Linked DNA regions of Elephas maximus indicus. The protein of the gene in region 1 binds, or shares a complex with, the protein of each later gene. Links are inferred from orthologs where the notes say so. Each region holds a gene or a part of one and is shown on either strand. Other genes may lie near its edges.

What was found.
Region 2: the proteins of RASA1 (region 1) and ARHGAP35 are in contact, whole or in part, in a crystal structure (PDB 8DGQ), measured with the Homo sapiens proteins. The link is inferred for Elephas maximus indicus from reciprocal best matches to the Homo sapiens genes RASA1 and ARHGAP35. Residues at the interface, in NP_002881.1 of Homo sapiens: Arg188, Arg207, Ser209, Arg211, Val217, Asn228, His229, Phe230, Arg231, Ile241, Gly242, Tyr256, Leu262, Leu263, Lys264, Lys358, Ser379, Asp380, Asn381, Ser387, Gln397, Arg398, Phe399, Lys400, Met411, Gly412, Gly413, Arg414, His425, Tyr426; in NP_004482.4 of Homo sapiens: Ser1085, Asp1086, Tyr1087, Ala1088, Glu1089, Pro1090, Met1091, Asp1092, Ala1093, Val1094, Val1095, Arg1098, Glu1100, Asn1103, Ile1104, Tyr1105, Ser1106, Val1107, Pro1108, His1109.

The regions. Positions count from the first base shown.
Region 1 is NC_064820.1:93,611,480-93,619,477, forward strand, and holds the start of RASA1 (ras GTPase-activating protein 1), read left to right. Parts: upstream 1-4,962; 5' UTR 4,963-5,578; coding exon 5,579-6,096; intron 6,097-7,998. UniProt on the Homo sapiens protein: Inhibitory regulator of the Ras-cyclic AMP pathway. Stimulates the GTPase of normal but not oncogenic Ras p21; this stimulation may be further increased in the presence of NCK1.
Region 2 is NC_064829.1:102,129,931-102,136,917, forward strand, and holds the start of ARHGAP35 (rho GTPase-activating protein 35), read right to left. Parts: upstream 3,083-6,987; 5' UTR 2,872-3,082; intron 1-2,871.

The DNA.
Region 1 (7,998 bases):
TTCAGTTTTTCACACATGAAACTGTAAGAAGTATATCTACCCCAGTATATCTATGTCAGGAAATTAAGGGGCCAGGAAGAAAATAAAAAGACACAGAAATAGGAATTGAGGGAGAAATTAGCAGAAAAAAAGAACATGAAAATATAAATGAGAGAAGAGCAGGTCAAGGTGAGTAAAAAAGAAAAAAAACGCGATAGACAAAAATAAAGGAGGTAGAAACATCAACCCCTTTAAGAAAAAAAAAGTCATTAAAGATAGAAGACTCATTTAAGATTAACGAAGTATGCAAGCAATACTTGTACCTCCACCTGTTGCTGTCAATTCTGACGCATAGCAACCCTATAGGACAGAGTAGTACTGCCCTATAGAGTTTCCAAGGAACACCTGGTGGATCCGAACTGCCGAATTTTGGGTGTACAGCCACAGCACTTAACCACTACATCGGCAGGGCTTCCGCATAAGAAATAGTAAACCTCAAAGTCTAGATCTGTCTGATGGTCAGAATATTTTGCAAAATATTCTTAAAAAAATAAAATATTTTGAAGATACCTTGTCAAAAATGTGTGGTAATCTCTTTGGATGAAAAGGACAATGCTAATTCTAAAGTTAAACATAAGCTAGATAAGATAGCCATACTAGGTTGATTTATGAATAGACATAGGAGGTCCTTCCTACTAGCTGAGAAATTGATTTCCAAACATGTGAGCTGATCTAACCCAGTATCTATTGAAAGGGTGGAGATCTTTTCAAAGCAATGTTTTAAAGATGCCTAGCACTGGGATAGGCAGTAGAATAGACCATAGAATGCCTTTGCAGTCTAGTCTTGTAAATAAAACCAAAACCAAGCAGGTTGTCGTGGAGTTGATTCAAAATCATAGCGACCCTATAGGGCAGAGTAGAATCATCCCACAGGGTTTCCAAGGAGTGGCTGATAGATTTGAACTGCCAACCTTTTGGTTAGCAGCCCAACACTCAAACCACTACACCACCAAAAAAAAATAATAAATAAACCAAACCCAGTGCCGTCGAGTCGATTCCAACTCCTAGCGACCCTATAGGACAGGGTAGAACTGCCCCATAGAGTTTCCAAGGAGCACCTGGCAGATTCGAACTGCCAGCCCTTTGGTTAGCAGCTGTAGCACTTAACCACAACGCCACCAGGGTTTCCACTACGCCACCAGGGCCTAAAAATAACTAGAAAGCAACATAACGCAGTATATAATTGGTGTCAGACTGCATTAAATATTGGCTTTTAAGTGTGTAAGAATTTTCAAAAAGGGGAATTCTGCAAATTATACCTAAGCTCTCGGGCTGAATATAGGCGGTATGTGAGCACTTACAGATCAGTTGTAACCAAGACCTGCTAACTGGCCAGTTCAATGCCTTATATTGACTGACTGATAGTGGTGACTGAAGTGAACGCATTGGAGGTGTGGGATGCTGTTTAGGATTGAATTGTGTCCCCCCCAAAATCCTAACCTCTACAATTGTGGTTATAATCCCACTTGGGAATGGCTTTTCTTATGTTAATTAGGCAGTATTAGTCTAGGAAGGAGTCCTGGTGGCAAAGTGGTTAAGCATTTGGCTGCTAACCCAATGGTAACCCATCAGCTGCTCCACAGGAGAAAGATGTGGCAGTCTGCTTCCATAAGGATTTACAGCCTTTGAAATTCTATGGGGCAGCTCTACTCTATTCTATAGGGTTGCTGTGAGTGAGAATCCACTCGATGGCAATGGGTTTGGTAAGGATTTGATTAGTGTAGAGTGTGTCTTCAGTCAATCTGTTCTGAGATAAAAAAGAGATTAAACAAGTGAGCAAGGAGAGATGGAGGAAGATAGATGCTACACCACACAAAGATCACCAAGAAGCCAAGGAATAGAAGCTGAAGAGATAATGACCTTCTCCCAAAGCCAGCAGAGAAAGTCTTCCCCTAGAGCTGTTGCCCTGATTTCAGACTTCTAGTCTTCCAGTTGACTCGATGGCAGCAGGTTAGCCTTCCAAACTTGAGAAAATAAATCTCTGTTTGTTAAAGCCACCTACTTGCGTTATTTCTACTATAGCAGTACTAAATAACTAAGAAAGATGCTAACACACTGCAGGCCTTCAAGCCAAGGCTATATGAAAACTTGTTGGGGATGCTGTACTTGGAATTTATGCATTAGGCAATAGCTGGAGTAGTTACTTCGATGGTCTCTTCTGAGGTTCTAAAATTAAAAAAAGAAAGAAAGAAAAAAATGTTATCAGAGGACCACCATAAGTACCGGTAGTACTTCATTATTCTCTTAAGTACTATAAACTACTTCATTCTGCTCTTTTTCATTTCCTAACCTTCTTTCTGGGCTAGCATAGAATTTAGTAACCCAACACCTACAGCTCTTACCCATACACTTAATGAATGCCATTGAGTCTGCTTTCTTGTTCATTCTTTCTTTCAGAATGTGTTTAGGTATTGCACACCTTCTTGATTAGTGGCGTAGTGGTTAAGAGTTAAACATAAACTAGATAAGCTAAGCTACGGCTGCTAACCAAAAGGTCGGCAATTCAAATCCACTAGGTGCTCCTTGGAAACTGTGTGGCGCAGTTCTACTCTACCCTATAGGGTTGCTGAGTTGGAATTGACTCAATGGCAATGGGTTTTTTTTTTTTTTGGTTTCTTGATTAGTATACTATATTCTAGAGCAGTGGTTCTCAAACTCAATTGAGCAAACAGGTACTTGGAGACTCACTAAAGGAGTATAGATTGTTGAGCCCTCTGGCCCACAGTTCAGAGGGCCTGATTCAGAGGGGTCTGAAAATATGCATTTCTAGCAAGTTTCTTGGATATTGCTGGTCTGAGGTCACTTTGACAACTATAGTTCTGTAACTATAGTTCTGGTGACTGACTAGTCCATCTTCATTCTCCCAGGTGGTACACTGGGTAAGAGGTAGAACGATTTAGGAATTCTCAGAACTACTATTTAATCAAGTTTATCACTGACTTGATAACTGGCCTACGCAAACTTCTGAAGTAAATGTACAGAGTGTACCTTGTCACCTCTTTTAGCAATCTTTACTCTTTTTCCCAGGCCTCTATTACAGCCCCCCATCTACAATCTGCTCCTATGCTGGTTTGATTGTCCTTATCAGAAAAAATATTGATCTCAAAAATCAATATTCAATGGTATTCAAGGTTGATCCATCCAGTACAAATCTAAAAGACAAGAACAATATATGAATCTAAATGGGTACGTTATCAATCGCATTAGTTTTCTAGGGCTGCCATAATAAGGTACCACAAACTGGATGGCTTAACACAATAGAAATTCACTCACAGTTCTGGAGGCTAGAAGCCTGAAATAAAAATGTCAGCAGGCCATGCTATCTCTCCTAGCTTTTGATGGTTTTGGCAATCTTTGGCATTCCTTGGCTTGTAGATACATAACTCCAGGCTCTCTCCATTGTCACATGGGCTGTGTCTACATTTCCCTCTTTTTATAAGGGCAGCAGTCATATTAGGTTTAGGGCCTACCCACATGCAGTGGACCCTCATCCTGATTATACCTGCAAAGACCCTATTTCCAAATATGGGCACATTCACAGGTTCTGGGTGAACATGATTTTTTGGGGGGACACTACTCAACCCAGGTAGATGGTGAGCAAAAAAGAGGAAGAACCCCAACGAGATGGAGTGATACAGTGGCTGCAGCAATGGCCTCAAAAACACCGATTGTGAGGATGGCCCAGGACAAGGCAATTTCGTTGTAAATAGAGAAATGACAGCACGTAACAACATCCAACCCAGTACACCAATAGTGTAATCTCAAACAATGGAAATGAGTCCATCACATACATGAATGCATACCACAGCTTACATACATTCTAGTACAAAAAGCAAAACAAATCCTCTCTCTTTGGCCATACTAAGGGTGGGATTTGTTAATTGATAATTTTTAAAATTACATCTATCTTTTTTTTTTTTTTGATACTTTAGGGTCTCTCTGGCATTTGGCTTATTGAAGGTGCTGTGTCAACTCACATATGCACCATGCCCTGCAGTTTTCTGCACAAGTGTGAGGAGAAAAGCATGGTTGGTGTCGGCTGTGGCTCCTCCTTCCCACACCCCTTCCTTAGTACTCACGAGACTTGCAATGGCACAGGTGAAAGTACGTGTCTGTGTGTTTTAAAAAAAACAAAACATATATTGGTAGACATCTGACTTCACAACCACATTTATTTCTACCAAAGCTCCCGTTATTCCCATATAAAACCAAAAAAAACCCAGTGCCGTGGTCCTGTTTATTTGTTTCCTTCTTTTGGGTACCAGAAAGTCTTTTTTTTTTTTTTTGAGTTTGTAATAGTCGTACTGTGATTTATATCATGCAAAAAAAAAAAAAAAAAAAAATTAACGGTACAGCCTGGGTCTTGGCAGCAGCATCACAAGCCCCTCATCCACCCCCACAGCTGGCTGCTATCTGGGCCTCCGGCTAAGGCCGTTTTATCCACGGGTCTGGAAGTAAGGGACTGGCTCTGTGGCACCTTCCTTTCCCTTTCTCATTCCTTCCTCTCCACTGCCTCCTTGTCCCTCTCATCTCTCCCGTCTTCAAGGCGCTCAGGGGCCTCGCCTCCTTTACCCTATCTCCTGCAACCAGAGAGGACCGCCACGGGTTAGTTGGGCTTGCGCCGCCGTTCTGGTAGGCACGAGGCCCCTTACGCAGGCCACCCGCCCATCAAACAAAGCCCCGGGAGGCAGGCGCGCGCCGCCGGCGACACCCAAAGAAGCGGTCGTACCGCCACGCGCTCTAAACAGAGCGGGACAGCGAGCCAGGCCACGCGCCGCGCGCCCCCGCCGCTTCCTTCCCTCCGGACTCTTCCTTTTCCTCCCTCCAGGCCCCGTTCCCCCCGCCCCCGCGCCGGGAACGCGCCTGCGCAGACACTGCCCTCTCCCTCCTCCTCCGCCCTTCCTTCCCTCCGTTCCTCCTCCCCTGTCCCGCCTTCCTTTCTCTCTCCTTGGGTTTCACTGAGCTCTAGGTTGTGAGCAGTTCAGTTCATTTCCCCAGCACCCCGCCCCCCTTCTTCATTCTCTCTCCACCCCTCCCATCTCCAGCCCGGTGGAGGATGAAGCGGCCACAGTGGCCCCAGCCCCAGCAGCAACACCGGCGGTGGCTTTGGTGGGGGTGGCGGGAACTCCGGTGGTGAAGAGGCGGTGGTGGCGGCGGCAGCAGTGGCTGAAGCAGTGGAAGCCGCCCCAGCCGCTTCCCCCTTGCTTCCCTTCCTCTTTAGTGCAGCCAGGAAGTTTTTCGCTTCTCTGCATGTGTGTGTGCGTGCGTGTGGGTGTGTAAAGTGAAGGTTTGGGCAGCGTTTGTGCAGGCGTAGGATTTTTTGCCCACTTCGCTTCCCGTAACCCGGGCAGCTCCAGAGCCTGGGCTGTGGCCCGAGGAGGGGGCGCGGCGGCGTCGGGCTCTCTCCTTTTGTTGTTGTTTCCTCCGCCTGGGGAACTGAAGGGGGAACGCGCCTGGGTGGGGCGACTCGGAGCCCGGGCCTGGTGGCCCCCGGGGCTCCCGGGCAGGCAGGGCAGGGCAGAGTAGAGCGGGCTTCAACATGATGGCGGCCGAGGCCGGCAGCGAGGAGGGCGGCCCGGTGACCGGCGGGGCAGGAGGCGGCGGCGCGGCGGCAGGCTCGAATGCCTATCCGGCTGTGTGTCGGATGAAGATACCTGCGGCCCTGCCTGTGGCATCCGCCCCTTATCCTGGGCTGACCGAGGCTGAAGTGGTCGGGAATCTGAGTGGCGGAGCTTCATATGGGCCAGCGTTCCTAGGAGCCGGGTCTGTGGTGGGGACACTGGGGGGAGCCGGACTGACAGGGGGAGGTGCTACCGCTGGTGTGGCTGGTGCAGCTGCCCCCGGCCCTGGTGGGGACATGGCTCTCACCAAGGGGCCCGCTTCGTTGCTTGCTGAGACCCTAGGGCCAGGCGGCGGATTTCCCCCTCTGCCGCCGCCGCCTCAGCTGCCTACTTTGGGCGCGAGCCTGGCGACAGTGGACGAAGGTGACTCTCTGGATGGACCAGAATATGAGGAAGAAGAGGTGGCCATCCCCCTGACCGCTCCCCCAACTAACCAGTAAGTCAAGACTGCTGTTGAGGGACCCGGGAAGCGGCCTCCAGGAAAGAAGTGGGGAGTAAAAGTGGGGAAACGTATGGTGTTCTTTCACCTGTGATTTGTTCTGGAAAAAGTTTTTAAGTTTCAGGCTCCATGTGCGGGGATTTAATATAATCACCCATCTTCCTTACAGGTATATCGTATCTCCTGGCGCCTTCGTATATTTATTGCTCCTCTGGGAAGATGGAAAGTTTTTAAGATGGGAAGCATGGAAAAATATGTATTCATTGAGAACCGGATATGGTTCTGCTCCTTCTAAATTGAGGTGGTGTCCCAGGATTCAGCTGAGTTTGCAGCTACCAAGGCAGTCATTGACTATGTTAACCTGTGTGTGTGTTCCCAGAAGCTTTGAATACGAGCATTTGAGTATTGGGTTAACATCATTCGAGAATGCATTGGTCAGAAGGCTTTGTTTTTGTTGAACTGCAAATCCCAATTTTTGTCTGCTGAAAACACAGTGATATAGAAAAGTCTCTGGATCTTTTAGGCGGTCAGAGAGAATTAGGAAAGCAGTTCTGTGAATTCCAGGTGTGATTAAGGGTTTCATACTCCAACGATGTCTGTAACTTGTTTCATAGAGTATATGTCACTACCAGTGTAATTCCTTTGTAGTTGAGATTCTGTAAGTACAATACTGAAGCAAAACAAAATTAATAGTGCTTCTTATCAGCACTTTTTGTTGGTGGCCAATACAATATCCTGTTTGAAAATTAATTTTAACAGTTGCTGTAGAATATATATGACAGATTTTTTTTTTTTTTATTGTTAGTACCTTCCCTTTGTTATTTTCATAAGTGGACTTTGGTATGTGTTTAAAAAGGTGGACCTTGATGAGACCAAGATGTTGAGATGGGAAATGGTAATAGCTGACAAAACTTGTTTTGTAGACTCCCCACATCAGTTTAATTGACAGAATTTCAGAATATTTGATGATTATCCCAGGAAAAAAGATTTGGTTCATATGATGACAGTCACTGGACAATCAAAAGCCTTCATCAGAGAATTTAGAAAGAAGAAAAAAAAAAAAAAAGAAATTAGCAAGAGATATTGTAATACCAATCTATTTTTGACTTAAGGCATTATGTTTTGATATTTAAGGTGGAAAAGTAAATTAGTCTTATTTATGCCAGTTACGGTATAAGAATGTTGAATATTCCTTTTATACTATTCCATAGAGTTCAGTTTTTTTTGTGTAATTTTATTCTGGCTTATGTCTGTGCATTGCAGATATTTTTGGAGGGGGTTATGGCTTTATTAAAAATTCCAATTTTACCCTGAGGGACCAGATTACTGGGCTGAGGACTGTGGGGACCATGGTCTCCAGGAACATCTAGCTCAATTGGCATAACATAGTTTACAAAGAAAATGTACTACATTCTACTTTGGTGAGTAGCGTCTGGGGTCTTAAAAGCTTATGAGCGGCCATCTAAGATGCTAGATTGATCTCATCCCATCTGGAGCAAGGGAGAATGAAGAAAACCAAAGACGCAAGGGAAAGATTAGTCCAAAGAACTGGTAGACTACAACTACCATAACCTCCACCAGACTGAGTCCAGTACAACTAGATAGTGCCCAGCTACCACCACTGACTGCTCTTACGGGGAGCACAAGAGAGGATCCTGAACAGAGCTGGAGAACAATGTAGGATAAAATTCAAACTCACAAAACAAAACAAAAAACCAGACTTACTGGTCTGACAGAGACTGGAGAAACCCTGAGAATATGGCCCCCGGACACCGTTGTAATTCAGTACTGAAGTCACTCCTGAGGTTCATCCTTCAGCCAAAGGTTAGACTGGACCGTAAAACAAAATGAGACTAAGTGGGCACACCAGCCCAGGGGCAAGGACAAGGCAGGAGGGGA
Region 2 (6,987 bases), on another chromosome or scaffold:
AACTGAGCCCCCAAAGCCCCACCTAGATTACCCCAGGCCCTCAGCTCCCATGGCTGGGAGTGCCTGCAATATCAGAGGGCAGAAATCTGAGTGACACTTGGCACTTTCTTTCAACAAAAAACCACAAAGTGCTTTCCAAACCCAGGCCCTCACCATTCTGAAGACCAAGAAACTGAAGCTTTCCTGGGGCAGAGGGTGAAAAAGAAATAAGCCCACACTCCCTCTGCCCCTCCCCAAAGGTCACACTGCAAACCAGAGGCCACTGGATGGGGCAGCTTCTGTAGCCCCAGAGCAGTCAACACACCAAGTGTGGCGCTGCACCCCCTCTAGGAGTGGGGAGAAGTCGAGAAATGGCAGTTCCCCAACCACGCGTAAAACAAAATTATAAATTGTCTGCTGGGGGAAGAAAAAAAAACACATTACTAAGTTCTCTCCAAGGGTTCTGGCCTGGAGGTGGAAGGGGAGAGGGTACCACTCACTGTCTCTTTAGCTCAGAGAAGGTGAGAAGGAAAGGGAGACAGAGAAGACAGACTTGGCAGCAGCTGCACTTGCCCCTTTTCCAGAGAGAGGACACAAAGCTGCAAAGCCCAGAGGGCTACACCAATGGGGTGGGCAACAAATGGAGCACAGAAAAGACGACAGGACCACAGAGAGAGCCAAGAGTGAGCCAGCGCCCACCACCAAACTTGGTGGAGGTGGGAGAAATGGGGGAGATACTCCCAGACTCCAGGTAGCAGTAACCAATCCACCACGACCCCCACCCCCCCACCCCACCTATTTGCCCAGACGGCACAATCTCCCCTTGGGATAAAGCTCTCAGGGTCAGGATGCAGGACAGACGGTCTGCACTAAAATCAAAGCCTAGAGAACCTAGGACTGGCCAGCCACTTCATCACCAAAGCTAAGGAACGGAGAGGGAGAAAGACTTGCCTAAAAGAAGGACTCACTCAAGGGGGAATGGGTGGGTCAGCAGTGGGGAACTGGGAAAAGCAGGTCTGATAGGAACTACTTGGGGAGAGAAGGCACCAGACACCCACAAGGGAAAGAAAAGGTAGGGGAGGCAACCAGTCAAAGAAGAACAGAATTGGGCAAGGGGTATCCAAAAGAAGTGTGAATTAAGAACCTATCAAAGAACTGAAGCAGCTCTAAGAAGAAGCTTGCTGGGGTGGGGGAAAGTATGATAGCAGAAATGGGTGAGAAGACATCTCTAATACTAGACAGAACTGGGGAAAGAGAACTCAAAAAGGAGGTAAGAGGCAGGGCAAAAAGGGAAGGACAGCCACAAAAAAGGACAGCAGGGAGGGTGAGAGCTGGATCAAAATGGTGGGGGAGAAAATGTCAGGTAGAAAACTTCGACTTGAGAGGGAAAAGAAGCTGAGGCAGTTAATAGATTCATATTAAAGAGGACCACTTCAAGAGGGGACAGCAACAAAAAAGTTAAAATGGGTCTGAAACTAAGTGGGCAAATGGACAGCTCCAAAGAGGGTGGGGGCAGAATCAAGCAAAGGAGGAAAAAGAGCAGGGGCAAAAAAGGATTTGAGGGCAGGTCTGTGAGATGCAAAATGGGAAGGGAATGGGGTGATGAGTAAGACAGAAGTTATCAAAGGTATAGCGAGGTAAACGGCAAATCCAAGGGGGGCCAAAATTAGGAAAGGACCAGGAGCAAAGAGGGAGCCATGTGGCAGATCCCAGGCAAAGAACTGAAGGGGAGGCAGACCAAAGAAAGGGGGGGGGCAAATGAATGGGACAGCTCAAAAATAATGCCAGAAAGAAAGTGGGGAAGCAAGGAAACCTCAAATACAACATTGAGGACAGGCGTCAGGACCTCAGGATGAAGTGGATGCTGTGAGGAAGAGGAGAAAGATCAGAAAAGAAGTTAACCGCACAAATGAGACAAATACAGGGTCAGAGAAGAGGAGCAGGCTACTTCATGGGAAGGCACAGCGGGGAAAGCCAGCGGGTTTGCCACACAACAAGGTCTGAAACTGGGCAAAGGGCAATGCTGGATGGCAGAAAGGTCTGGAAGAAAGAAAAGGGTCTGAAAGGCAAAAGAAAACAACATATGAGAAAAAAAAGGAAACAAATGTGGTGCATCCAAGTTCCAGGGGGAGCAGGAAGGGTCAGAAAGCAGAGGGGCATCCCCGGAGGTGCGGCAGGTTCTGGGAGAGAGCAAGGACAGAACTGCGGGGCAGCAGAAGCCAAGAAGGAGATGGAATGAAGCCCAAGAGGAAGAAGTGGGGTCAGCAGTGCCAAAACGAGCAGGGCGCTGAACCAGGTCTCGATGGGTCTCCAAGGAGGTGGAATCGCAGGTCCTAGAGGGACAGCTCCTGGGGGTGCAACCGATTCAGAGCGAGGGGGAGTCAGCAGGAGGAGGAGATGATGAGAGAAGGCAGCCAGGGACAGATCCGAAGGGCGGTGATAGCAGATTCGGAGAAGAAGCAAAAGGGTCATGGATCTCAAAAGAGGGGAGCCAGAATTAAGGGATGCAGAGGGTCAGAGAGGAGGAGGCGGGTCTCATGAGCACTGCAGAGTCCAGAAGGAGCGAAGAGCATTACTCAGGGCGGAAGAGGGAAGGGGGGGGCGCAGGAGAGAGCAGAGCGGCCGAAGTGGGGGTACAGAGGCAGATAACCCGAGATCCCAAAGGGTGGGGAGAAGGGAAAACCGAGGGGACAGCAGGGCCGGGACGGGCACGTCCGAAGAGAGCCGGGACCTGCGGGCCGGGCCGAGGTGCGGGCGCGGGGGGCTGGGGGCCGCTCCCTCCCCTCCCCCTCCGGCTCCTCCATTGTTCACGGGCTGCGGGCCCCGCCGTCCCCGCCTCCCCCTGGACCCCGCAGCGGGGCGGCGCCCAGCCTCGCTAGCTCGCGCACTCACCAGCTGGGTGCCCTCAGTGCGGCCCCGGCCCCCGGGATCCCGGCCGCGGCGACGGCGGCCCCGGCGCCATGTTCTGCTGCTCTTCGTCCAGCGGCGGGTGAGGCGGCGGCGGCTCCGGCGGCGGGGGGCCGGGCGGACCCTCCCTCGCGGGCTCCCTCCTCCGCCTCCACCACCTCCTCCTCCTCGTGCCGCGCCGCGGCTCTCCCTCGGGGCGGGGGGCGGGGGGGAAGGGGGAGGGGCGGGAACAGGGGGAGGGCGGACCGGCCTCGCTCGCTCGCTCCCTCACTCCCTCCCTCGCAATGGCGGCGACGGCTGCGACCGCGGCGCCTCCTTTCTGCGGCCGCCGCTCCCGCACGCGCGCCCCCACTACTGCGCGTGCGCGGCGCGGGGACCGCTGCAGGGGGATAACGGCCCCTGGGTGCGCGCCGCGAGGGGACTGCCGGCGCAGGACAGCGAGCCGAAGCGAGAAGCGCGTGCGCGCTCGAGGGGCTCACAGACACCGCGGCGGCGTGGGGCTGGAAACGGGCGTGGAGGATGCAGTGCGCGTGCGCCCCGAGAAGCCGCTACTGCGGTGGCTGCGGCGCGAGACTGTGAGCGCGAGGAGACCCACGACCCGGCAGACTGGGTTGGGCAAGTGCGCGTGCGCGGGAGGGGGGCCTCCCGGCGGTGGGCGTGGCCCTCAGGGGGCGGGCGCGCCCATGCGCGCGCCCGAAGCAGCCGATCCCCGGGTTCGCGCTGGCTCTGGAGAGAGCAATAGGGGAGAGGCATGGCCGGGCTTTGGGGGCGGGAGTGAGGGGGGTGTGATTCCGCTCGCGCGGGACCTGACCAGCCAATGCGAGGCAAGGGGAGGTGGGTTTGCCGCGCGAGCCGCAGCCCCCAAGATAACGGAGGGGGAGAGGGAGAGAAGTAACTTGAGGCGGTGGGAGGGACTAGGGAATAAGGGAGCGCGTCCAACGAAGGAGTTGATTGGGGAACCTGAGGAGGCGTGGCTCGCCTCAGCCCAATCCGAGCCTCTCAATTCGTTCTCCCGGAAGAAGGGGCGGGGCTGGCGAGCGCGTGCTCTTTACCCTTGCAGTGAAGAAAATCTGCCCGCGATCGGCGCATTAATGGAAGTAGCTCCTGATTCCTTGATCGTCTGGTCTGGCGGTGAGGAGGCGGGGCCTGGTCCTGCAGAGCAACCCTCGCGGCCAATCAGCATTGCGCAAATGACTGCGACTATCAGTTGGGGAGCCTAGAGAGGAAGTAGAAATGATGGGAGAGGGCAACTCTGCAACCCTTGAGTTCTTCTGAACTGAGGGGTTTCCTCTGGGACCTCTCCGAAAGCACTGATCTTGGAAGTGAGCAATCTGAATGCCCAGTCAATATATGTGCAATGCATGAAGGAAGGGCTATGTTCCTATTGCATTTTGCATTTCTTTCCTCAGTCTCGTAATCTATACAATAGGATAATAATCGTATCTCCATAGCGTTCCGGTGAGAATTGAGTTATACTTGTAAAGTGCTGCGAATCGTGCCTTACACATAGTTAGAACTGCCCCATAGGGTTTCCAGTGCTCTAAAACTTTATGGAAGCAGACTGTCACATCTTTCTCTTGCGAAGTGGCTGGTAGGTTCAAACCACAACCTTTTGGTTAACAGCCCAGCATTTAACCATTGACCCAGCAGGGCTCCTAGATAACTCAGAGTAAGGCACTCAGAGGTTACATAGCTAATAAGTTGCAGATTTGGGATTGAAACCTAGGTGGTTGGGGTCAGGAAACTGCATATCTATTACTTCAAATCTGTCTTGGAAGAAGTATAGCCAGAATGTTCCTTAGAAGCAAGAATGGTGAGACTACTTCTCAATACTTTGGACATGTTATCAGGAGGGATCAGACCCTGGAGAAGGACATCATGCTTGGTAAAGTAGAGGGTCAGCAAAAAAGTGGAAGACCTTCAACAATATGAATTGACACATTCCAACAGTGGGCTCAGGTATAACAAAAATCATGAAGATGGCGCAGGACTGGGTCGGAACTGTCTCAACAGAACCTAACAACAATAACAACTTCTTCATAGCACTCCATCAGGGCTGATGCAACCAAACAAATGCATTGTGGTTCATTCACACAGTGGAAATACTACATTCAGTGAGAATAGACAACCTACCCTTGCACACAATAAAGTGGCTGGATCTCACAAACAACGTTGGTCGAAAAAAGCCAGGCACAAAAGAGTGCTAACTGTATGATTGCATTCATTAAAAGCCCAAAAACAGTCTCTTCTCTTTTATAAGATACTGCTCATATTGGACCAGGACCCACCCTACTCCAGTATGACCTCATGGTAACTTAAGTGATAACATCTTCAGAGACCCAATTTCCAAACAAGGTTACATTCACAGGTACCAGGGTATTAGCACTTGAACATAAATTTTGGGGGGACAAAATGATTTGGTACAACCATTTTATGTGTGAGTCCTTTGAAAGCAGGAACTCCGTCTAGCTAGTTCCATGTTATTGTAAATGGCCCATAATAAATGTTACAGAGTAGGACCGTTCCATGGGATTTCCTTGGCTGTGATCTTAATAGCCTTTCTTCCTTGGTACTGCTTGTTGTGCGCCAACCTACAACCTTTAGGTTAGCAGTCCAGTATAAACCCTTTGCACCATCTAGGGACCTTTCATAATGAATACTTGTTAATTAATGAATAAATGAATTAATCCAATACTAAACAAAGGGGACGGTAGGCACTGGGTGCATGGTAGCCAAAAAAATACAGCCTTTGTCCACTGACTAACTCCTACCCTTTTTTCAGATGCTAACTTAGATGTCCCCTCTTTCACCAGGCCCTACCTGACCCACTAGGCTGTGTCAGGTGTCCCCTTCGTAAGCTCCCACAGCCCCCTTGACTCCCCATTCAAGCCCTGATCACCCTGGGTCGACCTTGTGTAGTGACAGGTCTTTCTCTTCCACTGGACTGTGAGCCCTGTGAAGGCAGGGTTGGGGCTGTCTCAGTCGCGCCCAGCACAGATCCAGGCACAAGGCAGGCGCTCAGGCAGCATTTTGTTGGACAAATGGAACCATCAAGAAAGGCCCTTCTAGCCCTGCATATCTTTCTAGTGCACAAGAGGGCGGGAGTAAGCTGAGCAAGGCAACCACAGGAAGCCGGCTTCCCTGGGGGCAGCCGCCCCCGCACACCCGGCTAGCCTCCACTCCAGGATAAATAAACAACCAAGTAAACAATTAGCACACCGATAGAAGTGCCGACTGCCAGCCTGGGCCGCTGTCAAGATTTCCCAAGCATCGCCCTAGGGGCCCCAATGGCCGGAACTGGAGGTCAAGCCAACGGGGGAGCCGGGATAGGTACCAGCAAGGCCTGGGGACCTGGACCCGCATGGAAGAGACGCACAGGCAGAAAAATCCACAAAAGAATTTTGCAAAGAGGGTGGGGGCGCTGGGGCATTTGCTCTCTCCTTTCCTGAGAGAATCAGAACAGAGGATGGGAACGAGGCCTGCGCTTGCAGGAGTCGGTAAACCCACAGCGCCGCCTACAAGCCGAGCTGAGGAAGTTCAGCTGATGATACAGCTGGGATGCCTGAGAGCGGCGAATTCTTCCACCACTGGCTGGAAGGACAGCCAATCAAGAGGCCGGGATGCTCGGATTCAGGCCTTCATCCCAGCGCCTGAACAGAACTCCCGCTTGGCACACAGTAAGCACGCAATAAATATCTAATGGATGGCTGGGTGATGAAACTCTCTATTTTTTCATAAGCTTTTAAAATTGAAATCTAGCATACATACCGAGAAGTGCACGGATCACAAGTGTGCACCTTGATGAATATTCGCAAAGAGAAACACCCTTGAAACCAGCACCCAGATCAAGAAACACAACATGACCAATCCTCCTGTAACCCCCTCCAGTTACTCCCCTCCTCACACAAGGGGAACCTCTTTCCTGATTTCTGTGACCAAAGATTAGTTTTGCCTGTTTTCGACTTTATATAAATGGACCGTACATTTAGTACTTTCTTGCCCTTGGCTTCTTTTGACCAACACTGTGAGATTCAACCACGTCATTGTGTTACTTTTGTCCAGGTTGACTAATATTTCCTGGGTCAGCTGAAAACAACTTGG